Mus musculus: one gene and its partner. The protein of the gene in region 1 purifies or fractionates together with the protein of each later gene. This does not show direct contact. Links are inferred from orthologs where the notes say so. Each region holds a gene or a part of one and is shown in the gene's direction. Other genes may lie near its edges. The genes, in order: Ap2a1 and Ralbp1.

What was found.
Region 2: the proteins of Ap2a1 (region 1) and Ralbp1 purify together in Homo sapiens (affinity purification with mass spectrometry; 5 studies listed by BioGRID and IntAct, with this or other methods). This does not show direct contact. The link is inferred for Mus musculus from reciprocal best matches to the Homo sapiens genes AP2A1 and RALBP1.

The regions. Positions count from the first base shown.
Region 1 is NC_000073.6:44,897,629-44,905,013, reverse strand, and holds the end of Ap2a1 (AP-2 complex subunit alpha-1), read left to right. Parts: intron 1-263; coding exon 264-361; intron 362-545; coding exon 546-777; intron 778-857; coding exon 858-1,025; intron 1,026-1,112; coding exon 1,113-1,273; intron 1,274-1,486; coding exon 1,487-1,552; intron 1,553-1,813; coding exon 1,814-1,870; intron 1,871-1,957; coding exon 1,958-2,040; intron 2,041-2,175; coding exon 2,176-2,265; intron 2,266-3,299; coding exon 3,300-3,423; intron 3,424-3,513; coding exon 3,514-3,630; intron 3,631-3,707; coding exon 3,708-3,777; intron 3,778-3,892; coding exon 3,893-4,027; intron 4,028-4,198; coding exon 4,199-4,276; 3' UTR 4,277-4,641; downstream 4,642-7,385. Other genes in the region: Fuz (protein fuzzy homolog), read right to left, coding at 4,667-4,881, 5,628-5,702, 5,776-5,840, 5,923-6,029, 6,143-6,238, 6,314-6,511.
Region 2 is NC_000083.6:65,847,918-65,855,497, reverse strand, and holds the end of Ralbp1 (ralA-binding protein 1), read left to right. Parts: intron 1-1,298; coding exon 1,299-1,406; intron 1,407-2,686; coding exon 2,687-2,808; intron 2,809-3,254; coding exon 3,255-3,378; intron 3,379-5,302; coding exon 5,303-5,548; 3' UTR 5,549-7,083; downstream 7,084-7,580. UniProt on the Homo sapiens protein: Multifunctional protein that functions as a downstream effector of RALA and RALB. As a GTPase-activating protein/GAP can inactivate CDC42 and RAC1 by stimulating their GTPase activity.

The DNA.
Region 1 (7,385 bases):
CAGTGCCCTCCCTTTTCCAGGTAGGTCCCACCTTCCACAGTCTTTAGGACCTTCCTAAACAGTACCAATGGCAGGGGAGCAAGCACTAGAAGTATGTATGGTATGTGTGGGAGATCTCAGTCACACTGGAACACTGAGTCAGGCTAGTCACCTCACAACTCCCCCAGGCCTCTGTCTCCCTGTGTACATTCGCAGAGGCCACAGGGACTCTCCTGTTTCTCCTGTCCTTGTCCAAACCCTGTCTTCTCTTGCTCCCCCCACAGGCCCTCCAGGCCCCAGCCTGTCATGAGAACATGGTGAAGGTCGGTGGCTACATCCTTGGGGAGTTTGGGAACTTGATTGCTGGGGACCCACGCTCCAGGTGAGGGAGCCTCATTTTGGTGCTCTCTTAGGGGCCTGGGGAAACAGTGTGGCTGCAAGCTGGGAAAGGGTGGGGTTCCTAGGGACCCTCTCGGCACACAACCCAGTTACCCCTGCATGAGGACACAGCCTCGTCTGGGGAGTGTGGGTGATGGGCATGTCTGCTGACGCCGCCTCCCTCACAGCCCACCAGTGCAGTTCTCGCTGCTGCACTCCAAGTTCCACCTGTGCAGCGTGGCCACCCGCGCTCTGTTGCTGTCCACCTACATCAAGTTCATCAACCTCTTCCCTGAGACCAAGGCCACCATCCAAGGGGTTCTGCGTGCCGGCTCCCAGCTGCGAAATGCCGACGTGGAGCTACAGCAGCGGGCCGTGGAGTACCTCACCCTCAGCTCCGTAGCCAGCACCGATGTTCTGGTTAGAGCCAATGCCCGAGTCCTTGGGACCACCCACCCTCCTGGGACAGAAGTGCCCCTGACATTCTGTCCTGCCCACAGGCTACGGTGCTAGAAGAAATGCCCCCATTTCCCGAGCGGGAGTCGTCCATCTTGGCCAAGCTGAAGCGCAAGAAGGGCCCTGGGGCAGCCAGTGCCCTAGATGACAGCCGCAGGGACACCAGCAGCAATGACATCAATGGGGGTGTGGAGCCCACCCCCAGCACTGTGGTGAGCCCAGTTATGGACCATGTGCCCAGGCTGGGCCCACTCTGCCTTGCCCTGCCTCACCTGTACCCTGTCTTGCCTTGATTGCAGTCGACCCCCTCACCCTCCGCGGACCTCTTAGGGCTGCGGGCAGCCCCTCCCCCTGCTGCACCCCCGGCTCCCGTAGGCGGGAACCTCCTGGTGGATGTCTTCTCTGACGGCCCCACTGCACAGCCCAGCCTGGGGCCCACTCCTGAGGAGGCCTTCCTCAGGTAGCTCCTGTCCTTGTCCTATCAGTCCCACCCCTTCTGTCTGGACTCTGTGGCCCAGCTACCCTTGCTGTCCTTTCCCACAGCTGTGTCTCAGTCCACTCTTCGTTCTCTCCTTCCTCTTGCCTCTCTTTCCCTGGCCCTCTTGCTGCCTCTCTGGGATTGGCTGCCTGCCACACCTGTCTTCTCTGTCTGCTCTGGGATTGGATGGCCCAGCGAGCTGGAGCCCCCTGCCCCTGAGAGCCCCATGGCTTTGTTGGCTGACCCAGCTCCAGCTGCTGAGTAAGGGGTGGCCTCTGGCTTTGGGTTGATGGATGTCCCCAGGGTGGGCTTTAAGGGTGCCTGGTGACTGGCAAACGCAGGGTTAGAAAACAGTGAAAGCTGGGGTTCTTGGGAGATCCCTCTCCTGGGGTCCCACTCCCATAACAGAGGGTCTCAGGGGAAGCTTGGCCTGTAGGTTCTGGGGAGTCTCCTTCCAAGAGAGCATTGCCTGTGCCTTTCTCCTCCAGCCCCCTAGGCATCACCCTTCTTCCTCTCCCCCAGCCCAGGTCCTGAGGACATAGGCCCTCCCATTCCAGAAGCAGATGAACTGTTGAATAAGTGAGTTCTGGGAGAGGTGGGCAGGGGAGCGGGGACAGGTGGGGAACACAGGAGCCCTCCCATTCTGACTCCCACCACCTTGCCTAGGTTCGTGTGTAAGAATAGTGGGGTCTTGTTTGAGAACCAGCTGCTGCAGATTGGAGTCAAGTCTGAGTTCCGGCAGAACCTGGGTGTGTCCTGGTGGCCCAGAGGTGGAATAGGGGTGCTGGGGAGGGGTGGGGTTGTTGGCAGTATCCCCTGGCTGGGCTGGTGGCAGGGTATGGGATCAGAGGAGCTTGGATGGAGCCCTCACCCACCCGCTGCAGGCCGCATGTATCTCTTCTATGGCAACAAGACTTCTGTGCAGTTCCAGAACTTCTTGCCCACCGTGGTCCATCCTGGGGACCTCCAGACTCATATCCTGTGTTCTTGTGCCCCACCCCACCCCAGTAAGCCCCTGGGAAACACTTACCAGGTCCATACTTGCTCAGTCCCTCCCTCTGAGTTAGGCACATGTCATTTGTAAAACTATTCATAGCTGGTAGACCTCTTTACTCTGGCACAGGTGACAGTAACCCAGTATGCAGTATGTGACTTCCAGCACACCAGGTACCCTGCCAGGCACCTTACTTTTGCTGCACTCAGGTTAACCAGGGATGCCTGCAGTGTTGGCCTGCACTACATCAGCTGAGTGACTTGCCTCCTAACCCTCCGGGGGGTAGCTTCTCTCTTTCTGCTTATGAGGATCTTGTGTTGTTTGTGAAACTTTAATATCACCCAGGCTGACCTCCACTTGCTCCGGAATGGGCTGGCTTTGAGTCGAGGTGAGTCTTCTGTCTCTGCCTCCCACGCTGTGAGTGTAGGTGTGCACCAGTGAGCCTGGCTTCCGTGGCTTTTTTGGAAGAGCAGTTGGGATGTCCTGGAATGTGTATGGCAGAGCCAGGCCCCCTCTCCCTTATATTGGCCTCATTCTGAATGTGTGAGACTAACTGGCCTTTCCCCTTCTGCTTCGTTCACCAGCCTTTCCAGAGCCCAGGGTAGAAAGCTCTGTCAGAAGTAGGGCAGAGTAGGTGAGTGTAGATACCAGCCATTTCCATGAAATCAGACCTGTGTACAGATGGTGACAGTCATTGCTTCCATCTGGGTGCATGACCACTACTAACACAGGCATGTTGTGGTGCTGGGTGCTTTCATCTATTCCTCAGGACACTTTTATGTACCTAGTTTGCACTGGAGGCTAAAAGTCCCAGCGTGCCCACTAGGGTCCATTGAAGCTAGGAGTGGAGGCTGGAGAAGTATATTCCCAGGGGTCCCAGATCTCACAGGAGGAAGGAGGAGTTAGGTGTAGGCCAGTTGCAGTGGCCCAGAGCCTCTAGCTGCTGGGCTTGCGCTCCTCAAGATGCCTCAGTTGTGCCACCGCTGTCCCTGGCTTCCTTGACTATGGAGCCACAGCTGGCGGTGCAGACCAAGCGTGTGGCGGCACAAGTGGACGGTGGCGCACAGGTGCAGCAAGTACTCAACATTGAGTGTCTGCGAGACTTCCTGACGCCGCCACTGTTGTCGGTGCGCTTCCGGTAAGTGCGAGCAGCACCGTGTGGGCTGTAGGGCAGTGAGGCAGTGTCTTCAGGGATGGGGCCCAGCTGAGCTGCTCCTCATCTGCTCAGGTACGGTGGCACCGCCCAGTCCCTCACTCTGAAGCTCCCAGTGACCATCAACAAATTCTTCCAGCCCACAGAGATGGCGGCCCAAGACTTTTTCCAGCGCTGGAAGCAGCTGAGCCTGTGAGGGGCGGGGCTGAGGGGCGGGGCAGGGCTGAGGGCGGGGCCTCAGATGCCTGACAGTGCTTTCAACCTTCCAGCCCCCTGCAGGAGGCACAGAAAATCTTCAAAGCCAACCACCCGATGGATGCTGAAGTTACTAAGGCCAAGGTGAGACAGACGGGCGTTTATCAGGTGCTGGGACCAGTTCTCACCCCTGAGAGTTTAGCCTGCAGTAGGCTGGAGGCTTCTCAGCTCTGCTTCCCTAATACCCATGTCGTTGCAGCTTCTGGGGTTTGGCTCTGCTCTTCTGGACAATGTGGATCCCAACCCTGAGAACTTTGTGGGTGCTGGAATCATCCAGACGAAGGCCCTGCAGGTGGGGTGTCTGCTTCGGCTGGAGCCCAATGCCCAGGCCCAAGTGAGTGCAGAGGGTGGGCATCCCTGTGACCTCACCTTCCCTGCGAACCCCGCCTTCCCTGCACCTAGCCCTCCTTCCTGTGCTTCTCATTAACTTCTCCTCTGGCTTTTTTTTAACCTACCTTACCCCTCTGACTTTGTACCCTTGTCGGGCTCTCGCCTTTCCACACAGATGTACCGTCTAACCCTGCGCACCAGCAAAGAGCCTGTCTCCCGTCACTTGTGTGAGCTGCTGGCCCAGCAGTTCTGAGCCCTGGACTTGCCCTGGTATATGGCCAGTGCCAGGCAGCCCTGGGATGGAGGCAGCTGTGGTGGAGCGGGACAGCGAGGGGCCCTCCAGTGGCGACAGCAAAGAGCCCGGGGTGGGGGCGCCTGGGAGCTCCCTCTGGCCTTTTGTATTTTATTTTTGTTCATCTGCTGCTGTTTACATTCTAGGGGGGGGTCAAGGGAAGCACCCTCCCTCCCTTGTCCCCCGAAGCACAGAGGGGAGAGGGGCCGAGGAAGTAGGTACCTCTCCCCCCCCTTCCCTGTCACCCTCCCCCTTCCTCCCTTTCCCCATCCAGGGGCTGTGTATTATTGTGAGCGAATAAACAGAGAGACGCTAATATTACCCCAGCTATTGACTGCCCACCCTGAGTGATCAGAGGAGCGGGGTGAGGGCTTGCAGAGTGCGGGTGGCTAGGCTTCGCAGCCCGTGGGTGGGGGTGTGAGGGGAGAGCAGCAATAGTAGCAGCCGGAGCCCTAGTTGCACAGCCACCAGCTGCCACCCCATGCCTGGCCCTAGCACGAGATAACAGGCTCTGGGCATCTGGGCTGGGTAGACTGTGTCCTCTTGTTTCTCTGCAGGCCCTGGTTCTGAGGAAGGACAGAGAGGACTGTGTTGAGCAGCACAGCCTCCTCATTGGGCCTGGTACCCCTCAGCCCAGCCCATTCCTCCACAGTAACTCCCAGATCAGCTTCTTCCCGCCTAGCCTTGCGGTCTTCCTATGACCACCGTGTACTCACAGACCTAACGTGCAGTGGACCCCAAGTGCCCTCAGCACTGGTGTCACCCTCCAGAGGATCACACCCTGTCCTCAAGTGCAGGCCTCCAGATTTGCACACTTGTGAGGTCTTTATCCGGCTGGGCACCGTTAGGTCCCTGCCTGTGTCTCTTGGGGCCTTAGGGACCTGGGACAACTTCCCAATGTGGAGTCTGCAGGCTCCTCACTTGCCTCAGCTTGAGCAAGGCTGTGCCCAGCACTGTGGAGGGTGACAGGAGTGGCTGCTTGAGCACTGCCACCTAGCATTGCTCAGCGGTTAGGATCACCGGGATCAGCACAACTGACAGTGCTTGCCTAGGAGGCTGGAGCAGTAAGTTGTCAGGTCTTTGGAGGTACTAGATAGCCCAAGTGGCCTCAAACCCGTGGTCATTCTGCCTTGGCCACAGTAGGGCTGACATTCCAGGCATGGGACAAAATGTCCAGCCTGTGCTTACTGTAAAAACACTGACTGAAGAAGAAGTCAGGGATTTAGTAAGATTGACAGGGGCAACTCAGGCATGTGGTGCATTCTCGGCTTCAGGGTGTACATGCCATGTGGGATCCATGCCCACCACTCACCTGGCGGGAAGTGGGTGGTGGCCACCAGCGTGTAGAAGTTTCTAAGGAGGCGCCTGCGCTGCTCAGGGGAAGGCTCTAAAGAAGAGGGAGCACCTTGACTAGGTGGCCTCTGGCTCACGGCCCTCCCACTCACTGCGTTCCCACGCACCTTTATCCTTGGAGGGCTCCACAGTAAAGAGGCAGCGTCGCAGTTCCAAGTGGAGTAACAACAGACTGGGGGAAAGCACTATCAGGCTGTGGGGAACTGGCAGAGCAAATGGCCTTCCCGGCCCTGGGCCCAACCATCGAGCCTTACCCAAGAATATCGCTGTGTAGTGGGAACCCTTCGGGTAGCGCCCTAGGGCCCAGTGGCAGGCAGGCCCGGAGGGGCTCCAGTAGAGGCTGCCACCAGCGTTCCATTAACTACGGGGGTGAGATGGGGAGCGAGGTCAGGGCTGGTTGGCCAGGGCCTGCATGCAGCAGGTGGCGCTGTTGGAGGGGATGCACAGGGGCAGCACTGCAACAGTCCGCCTCACCTGTGGGTCCAGCTGGCCAAGGGGCGGGCGCGGCCCGCACAGCAGACACAGCTCCAGGCCACGCAGCAGCGTCAAGGTCAACAACCTGTGTGGGACCTGTAGCCGGGCACAAGATAGGGCTAAGCATGGCCCCGCCCTGCTGGAAGCCCCGCCCTGGTCCCGCCCACTCACCGTGGGGCTCCCGTGGGGCAGATACACCGGGTAGTCTCGAGCAGCTTGTGGTGGCAAGGACCCCACCAGCCAGGGGAGTAGTACAGCTTCAGGCATGCCTAGGCGCCACCAGCCCTCTGTCGCTGCCACCACTCGGCCTGATACAAGCAGGCTGACAAAGGCTGTGCCAGTGGCCTCTGCAAACCCTGAAAGGGTTTCCTGGTGAAAAGGTCAGACTAGATGTCATAGGGCAAGGAGGGACCTTCCCGGCTAGTCAGGGAGGGGAAGAGCAGCCATGAGACCAGAGACACCCTAGCACGCAAGGCTGCCAAGCTCCTGTCTCACACCCTCTCTGTGAACGAGAATACTTTAACCTTCCTGATCAGTCAGCACTCTCAATTCTCCATACACTTATTTTATCTGTTTGTTTGTTTGCTTCTTAAAATTTATTTCTCCTTCAGTTATGGGGCTGCTCCTGCCAAGTCATACTGAATTTTTGAGTCATGTGTTCACTGAGCTGCCTAGGCCGGCCTTAAACTTTGCATACTCTCCCCAGCCTCCAGAGTAGCTGGGGTGACAGGCCTGCACCAGGAGGTCCTGGGATGCCAATAGTTTTAACAACAGCATCTAAACTTGCTGAGAAGGCACAGTCCTGACCTACGGAAGCTCTGAGGTCAGGACATGCTGCCAGGAGAGGCATAACTTTAGCAAAGGAAGATTGGGCAGGCATGGTGGAGCACGCCTTTAATCCCAGCACTCAGAGGCAAAGGCTGGTGGGTGTTTGTGAGTTGTAAGTTGGAGGTCGGCCGGACTGGCCTACAGAGAGAGTCCCAAGACAGCCTGGGAGCCCTGTCTTAGAATGGGGTGAGGCGGATTTGCCTAGACAGGGTTCCCTGCAAGGCAGGAAGGCAGGGTGCTTGTGAGGCCGAAGCTGCAGGACAGGAGGCAAGCAGTCAGTGTACCCTGGTGAGAAGGTTCCAGGTAAAACTTGATTCCAGGATGATAAGAGGGAGTTAGGACAATGTCCAGAGAAAGAAAACAAAGGAAGGCTGAGCAGAACCGTGGGGACACAGTTATTTCTATAGCTGCCCCA
Region 2 (7,580 bases), on another chromosome or scaffold:
ATCTGCTTTTATACCATTTTAATTACATGCAAGTAATTAGGTCAGTTCTAGGTTAAGGAAAAAGCAAGACAATAAACACAAATAGGCGAGGAACAAGCAAGGCAATAAACAAAGCCCCGGGATCGAAGTTTCTAGGCCTTATCAGGATGACCAAGATATCTGAGCCTACTTCCCTGTCCTAGTCCAAAGTCACATTCTTGCTTAAGCCTACTTCTTTGTTCTAGCCTAAAATCAGATTCCTGCCTGGACTTCCTTTCCTGTCCTAGCCCAAAAGTAGATTCCTACCTGAGCCTGCTTCCTTGTCCTGACCCAAAATTAGATTCCTGCCTGAAACCTACCTCCCTGTCCTGACCCCAATGTCAGATTTCTGCCAAGCAGCTCCAAAAGCTCTCCACAGTTCACACACTGGTTGTCACTGAGCAACTACTCACACCAGCATAACAGACAGAAGCATCTTAAAGCCAAGTATAAAGCTAGAGAGAAATGACCTGTTGAGCCAGTTCATCTGAGACCCGAGAGAGAAGCTGTTAGGATTGAGAGCAGGTCTGTGGTGCTGGGCACCAACAGATGGAGCAAGGGCAATGTTTCCTAACAGGGTGGTGGTGGTTACTTGACTATGTGTATTTGGTAAAATTAGTTACATTATGAAATTGACACCCAGTAGCTCCCTTCAAGACATCTCATGCAGTCAGGATTAAGGGAGCATATTCATCAGAAATAAGCATTTTTCATAGTGTAGCCACAGACCGAGATAACCATGTCATGGTCTTTTCTTACTTTAAAATGTTTATTCTTTGTGTGTGCGTGTGCATGTGGGTATGGACATGCAGTGGCACGAGTGTGGAAGTCAGAGAACAACTTGCCAGAGTCAGTTCTCTGCATTGTGTGAGTCCTAGGGAAGGCTTCTTGATACCAAGTGTCTGCCACGGGGCCACCTTGCAGTCTCGAACCACATCATAGTCTTTTATGGTTTGATTTGGTTTTTTCTTTTTGAGATGGGGTCTTTCTGTTGTCCTGGGTGTCCTGGAATTTACTATGGCCTTGAACTTCAAGCTAGCCTTGAACTCACATAGCTCCTCCTACCTCTGCCTCCTGAGTGCTGGGATTAAAGGCGGGTACCACCATCCCTGCTCTTACCTACAGTATATTCTAAGCCTAGTTAGCAAATGTCCGGTCATCATTACAGACAGTTCCCTACTGCTGCTGGGGTTTTCTTCATTTCTGTAATTTAAGAGGACCATTTGTTGATTGTGTGTTACATGTAGGCCGAACAGTTCATCATGTGTTGTCTTTGACAGGAGTGTGAAACCAAGATTGCACAGGAGATAGCTAGTCTTTCAAAAGAGGATGTTTCCAAAGAAGAAATGAATGAAAACGAAGAAGTTATAAATATCCTTCTTGCCCAGGCAAGCTATACCTTTTGATTTCTAAAGGGATTTATTGGTCATTTTTCAAATAGAAGCACAACTATAGACTTTTTAAAACCAAAATTGTAATGAACTCCAAAGAAGTTGTTCCTGTTCTGTGGCCCTACCCTTGTGCTGTGTGTGCTGAAATGTTAAGTGTGGAGGGAGAAAGAAGCTGCCTTCTGTTTAGCTTCCTCGTTTCTGTAAGTCGACATAGAAGTATTGTGGCATGTTCCTGATTTACAAGAACAGAAACAAAAACTCTGAGGAGAGAGAAGCCCCAGATGATTTTCTTAGAGTTTCCCACCTCAGCTTTCTTGGAGTATAACTTCATCCATATATGCTCTGAGGTAAACGACGAGGGTCTGTGTTTGAGCATGGAGAAGTGGCCTCTCTCACTCGGGAACTTTTCAGTGGTTCCTGGACTGTGCCCACAGTGCCCACGGTGCCCACGGTGCCCCTTGTTTGGAAGGAGTTGCTGGTGCTCTTGCCTCCAAGGCATCTTCTCTCTACTGTTTGCTCTAGACCCGAGAGCCCTAGCTGGAGTGCAGGCAGGGCGCTCTCCACATCACTGCTCTCAAGCAGTTTAGGAATGGTTAACCTGTCAAGAGTTCTTACTTTGATCTGAAGGGCGTGGCTGGGGACAGTGAGGGAGATCCTGTAACCTTTCCTTCTGTCTGTTCTGCCCCACACCTGACACTGGTACCAGCCACACATGCATCTCTTGGGTCCTGTTCCTAGTGATGCTGAAAAGTCACTGTGACCCTGAATCCTGAGAGACAGGAAGCCAAAGCTGATGAGTTTTAGATCATGTTTATTTGTGCATATGTATTGCACATACATGCATTCAGATCCCCCCTGGGCCAGAAGAAGGTGTTGGACCTCCCTCCAACAGATGGTTGTGAGTCCTTGATGTGGCTGCTGGGAGCCAGATGTGGGTCCTCTGGAAGAAGAGCAAGTGCTCGTATCCGCCGAGCAGTCTCTTCGGCCGCGAGCAAGGCAAAGCAGATGTTGCCTTTGGGTCCTCTGCCGGGGTGTAGGGGGCTCATGGGAGCCTTGCAGAAGCTACAGCTGGCCCTTGTGTGCACTTTGTTGTTAAGAAGGGTCTAGACCTTCTCTCAACGTGACTTGGTGTAGCTTTTCTTGATTCTGAGACAGTGGCATGGTTTTGTTGTAGTAACTTGTGTTCAGCACCGAGCAGGGTGACAGGAGAGGCTCTGGAGAGGTGGCATTTCCTCTAGCAGAGCTCAGACAGGTGCCACCCATTGTCATTGTTTCAGGAGAATGAAATCCTGACAGAACAGGAGGAGCTCCTGGCCATGGAGCAGTTCCTGCGTCGTCAGATCGCCTCAGAGAAAGAAGAGATCGACCGCCTCCGAGCTGAAATTGCGGAGATCCAGAGGTACAGGGGCCTCGGACTGGAAGCTTCCAGCCGGGTTGTGCTGTATATGAGCAGAGCTGAGCTAAAAGTTCAGTGGTTTTCATCTTCCTTGTGCATGGAGCCGTTAGCAGCCCCTCCTGTTGTGGTGACTCCAGCCATTACATTGTTTCCTTGCTACTTCATAACTGTAACTTTGTTACCATTATGAGTTGTAAGGTAAATACTGATATGCAGATGGTGGCCTTAGGCGACCCCTGGGAAAGGGTTGTTTGGCATCCATAGAGCTTGTGACCCACAGGTTGAGAACCACTGTTTTAGACATTCCTGGAAAGAACTGGGTTTCTGAAATCAGTCACTTTAAGCTCCTTACTGGGTCTTAGGCAGCACTGGGTCAGGTCGATGCTCAGGCGTGGGTGGGTCTTAGCCGGCCTCGGAGTTCACTGTAGTGCTGCCTCGTCTCCACACAGCCGTCAGCAGCATGGCCGCAGTGAGACGGAGGAGTACTCGTCCGACAGCGAGAGTGAGAGCGAGGACGAGGAGGAGCTGCAGCTCATCCTGGAGGACCTGCAGCGGCAGAACGAGGAGTTAGAAGTGAGTGGGGGACAGCCTCCAGAGGGTCTTGGGACCACAAACCACCTATTTTCTCACTGGAAACTTACGGTGGAGAGGAATTCAAGAACACTTGTTTTTTAAGATTTACTTTATTTAGATTTATTTTATGTATATGAGAAGTACACTGCAGCAGTCTTCAGACACCACAAGAGGGCATCAGATCCCATTACAGATGGTCACAAGCCACCGTGTGGTTGCTGAGAATTGAACTCAGGACCTCTGGAAGAGCAGTCACTGCTCTTAACCGCTGAGCCATCTCTCCAGCCCTCAAGGGCATTGTTAGCAGGATGAAATGTGTGCTCTAGGCTGTCTGGAGTGGGGCGTTTTCCCCTGACCTTGGTTACAAGTGAGCCTAAAAGAGGTGAGAGGCGCCTGGCCACTGTCCTAAGTCGCCTTGCAGTGGCTTTCTTGTAGTCTGTGGGGTACCACAGAGGAGTGGGTGTGACAGGATGCCTAGGAAGCTGGACTGAGAGGGAGATGCTGGCCTAAGCGGGGTTCTCTTTTCATCCTGAATAAACATTGTCTTCTGTAAGGACGACTAGGTAAACAGACACCTTTGCTTCATTCATGTTCACTGAACTGCCTGCCAGGCAAGTGCGCATGGGGTCAAGCACAGAGGCTGGGCGCGGTGGCTCAGGAGGCAAAGAGGGGCATTTCTGAGTTGGAGGCCAGTTTGGTCTACAGAGTGAGTCCAGGACAGTTGGGGCTTGAAAAACAACAGAAAGATAGAAAAACTACTGTGGCTGGAAAGATGGCTGAGCAGTTAGGAGCACTGGCTGTTCTTCCAGAAGACCCAGGTTCATTTCCTAGCACCCACATGGCAGCTCTTAACTGTCTAACTCTGGTTCTAAGGGACTCAACACACTCACACAGACATAAATAAAAATAATATTTTAAGGATTGCCCAGGACTCTGCTATCCACTGTGTGATAGGATCCAGGGACATGGCCCCACTGGTGAAGGGGCTGCAGTGAGGCTGAGGCCCGGAGTTAAAGCCAACTCCCTTCACGTGCACACACCTGTGTCACACACGCACCTGTACCCCTTAAGGGATCCCTGCACTCAGGAGGCAGAGGCGCACAGAGCTCTGAGTTTGAGGCCAGCCTGGTCTACAGAGTTGAGACCTTGTTTTGGAAAACATAAGAAAGGAAGTTAGTGTGAGTGAGACGGGTTGCTGGGAATTCTGGCATTTAGAAGACACATTGGCAACCTGGTTTGATCTCCATTTTCCTGAACAGGAACAAATGGCAGAATCGGGAGTGTTCTGTTGTGCACGTGGCGTAGGGCCTGCTCGAGCCAAAGCGGCTCCCCTGCATCTCGCCGTGTTCTCAGTTGGGGAGGGACGGGTCAGGGCTTCCCCAGTGTCACACCGAGCGAGCAGTGGGACTGGCACCTCTGCTCACCTCACTGAACCAAAGTCGAGTTGTGGGCACAGCTGCTTAGGATGCGGGGAAATCCCGAGGAAGAAGGGTGTTCCGATGGCTGGGGCGGTTGCAGGAGCTCGGGGTGAGCTACCCGTGAGTTCCTGCTGAATGAGTGAGTCCCCAGCATTTAAGCAGCTGTGGTTCCCACACTCCTCAAGGAGCACAATTCAGATGTGGTCAGTAAAGAGAGACTTTGACTTGGGAAGAGTCTCAGCTTTTACCCAGCCCTGGCCCCTGTCCTCACTGCTCTGGTGACACATCGTTTCCTAAATGTGTTTCTCTTTGTAACTCAGAGTCCATACTCAGGCATTCAGAGTGATGCTTGTACCCTAGCCACATATCCATCTTCTTATCTAATGCTGCACCAGCCAGGCTGGCTAGAATAGAACTAGATCTTTCTCAGGATGGCTTGCAGCCTGTGCTCTGCCTAGATTCCTTGTGCCCTTAAGTGGTAACTGCCCTTTCTGTCATTCTTTAAGATAAAGAACAATCACTTGAACCAAGCAGTCCATGAGGAGCGGGAGGCCATCATCGAGCTCCGAGTGCAGCTCCGGCTGCTCCAGATGCAGCGAGCCAAGTCTGAGCAGCAGCCGCAGGAGGAGGAGGAGCCCGAGAGGCGAGGGGGCATAGGCCCACCGCCCTGTGACGGTGTCCTCGAGGTGCGGGTAGCCAAGGAGCAGGCGAAGGCCTCGCCCAGCAAAGACCGGAAGGAGACGCCCATCTGAGCTGCGGGCCGGGCCCTGTGCATCTTACTGTGAGTGTGAGTGAGCCGCCTGCCTGCTGGACACTCTGTAAAGGCTCGCTCTCAGAGACGTCCCCTCTCACACACGTCTGACTCCGTGTCAGGCTCAGGGCCTGGGAGGCTGAAGCAGTGGACACACGGGGGGCTTGCAGGGAACACAGGCATTTCCAGATAGTGTCAGCTTATTTGAAAAATAATTTTCTTTGTTAAAAATAACTATTTTAACCTTTGAGTGGCTTCTTTTTAAACCAAAAATTCTTTTCTTTGGCTTTTTTTTTTTAAATCACAGCAGAATCAGGCTCTCTTTCTTATCAAAGGGTAGGAACCAAATCAGGTCACTTCTGCGCCTGCCTCGTGGACGCTCGTGGTCTCCCCAGCCCTGCAGGGTCTCTGGCCACTCTTGTTTGTGCCTTCCACACCTTTTGGTGCAGATTGTTCAGTGGGGAGCTGCCTCATATTCTCTGACTGGCCAGAAAGGCTCTCGCTGGGGTTCCCTGCACCACGTTGCTTTTCCACTTCCGAGTTGGGTCTGTCTGTGTGAGTCAGGACGGCCCAGGTTGGTGGCAGACAGAAGTTACCTGTGCAGCCTGCCACCAGCCTGGGCAGTGCAAGCCACTCACTCACTGCCAGGGATCAGCAAAGGCCTCTTCTCTGAGGTGGTCGGAGGTGACCACCTTGACTCTGAGGCGTTGCACAGGAAGCTTCTCAAACCAGAGCCCTTCTCCACACTGACCTTCCAAGAAAACCACAGTGACTTCAGCTGCTAGCTTGGGCTAGGATACACACCTCTGCCAGGATAAGCCATGTAAATGCTCTCACGCAGAACGTTCACCTTTCCGCGTCATCTCAAGGGGCTGCTATAAGGACTCTGACAGAACCGAGCCGAACCGGTAGCTGTGACTGACCCCACCTGGTGTTTGCTTCTAACTCAGATGACTGCTCCCCGAGTCTGGGAGGCCTGCCTCTTAGGCAGCCAGATCTCACTGTCAGATGAGTGGCCCCCAGGGAGGTCCCCTGTGGCTCTGAAGACAAATCCCACACTCTAAAGTGAGCGACAAACCCACAGGAGGGCTCTGGTCTCCTCCTAGTTAGTATTTATTTCAGCGCCTGTCTTTTGTGCGGTTTTTTGTTCGCCTCTGCCTATTGCACTGTTGTGACTTGTTGGCCATTATTTGATTTTTGTACGGAAAAAAAGCTTTGTTATAGAAATCAGCATACTATTTTTTTAAATCTGGAGAGAAGATATTATGGTGACTGGAAATATGGTCAGGTGTCAAATATAAATGTACAAACGCCTTGCTGCATCCCGTCCGGTGTACAACATCCACTTTATATTTGCTGGCAATATTGAAGAATTCTTTTTGTTTGTGTAAACTCTAATTTCTATCAAGGTATCATGGGTTTTTAAAATTAGTATTTCATTACAAATGTCTCGATGTTGGTTAACTAATTTTTGCCAGGACCATTATTGATCAAGGAAATAAATTCAACAGCCATTTGAGAAAAAAAAAAAAAAAAGGCTTCTATTGTCCACTCTTCTCTTTGAAATAATTGCATAGCCAGCATCTGGCACGAAGCTGGTGGAGATGCCCAAGGTGGAGAGCGAGTGGGAAGCCTTATTCCACCTCGCTCCTCGCCCATGCTGTGTGTGTGCTCCTGCTGTGGTCTCTTGGCCCTCTGCCCACCGTGCTTGCTGCTGACTGGGAGGGTTTGCTCAGACTGTGTGCAGTTCCTGAACCTGACAGTTTCCTGGTGCTGTTGGGAAAGCAAGCTCTGCCTTCTAGGTCAAGTCCAGAAGGCTTGGCCCAGTTGTTAGAGGTTACAGAGGTTTGCATTTTACATGTGAAATGAGGACTTAGAGCAGCTAGCATGCTAGAGATGTATGACAAACATCTGAATCTGTAGCTAGTAGTTTAACTGCACCACAGAATTTATGTTGCTTTACAGAAGGTTCCAGGTACCCTGCTGTGACATCTTAACTTCAGGCAGGGATCTGGAAATGAGGGCCCGAAGAG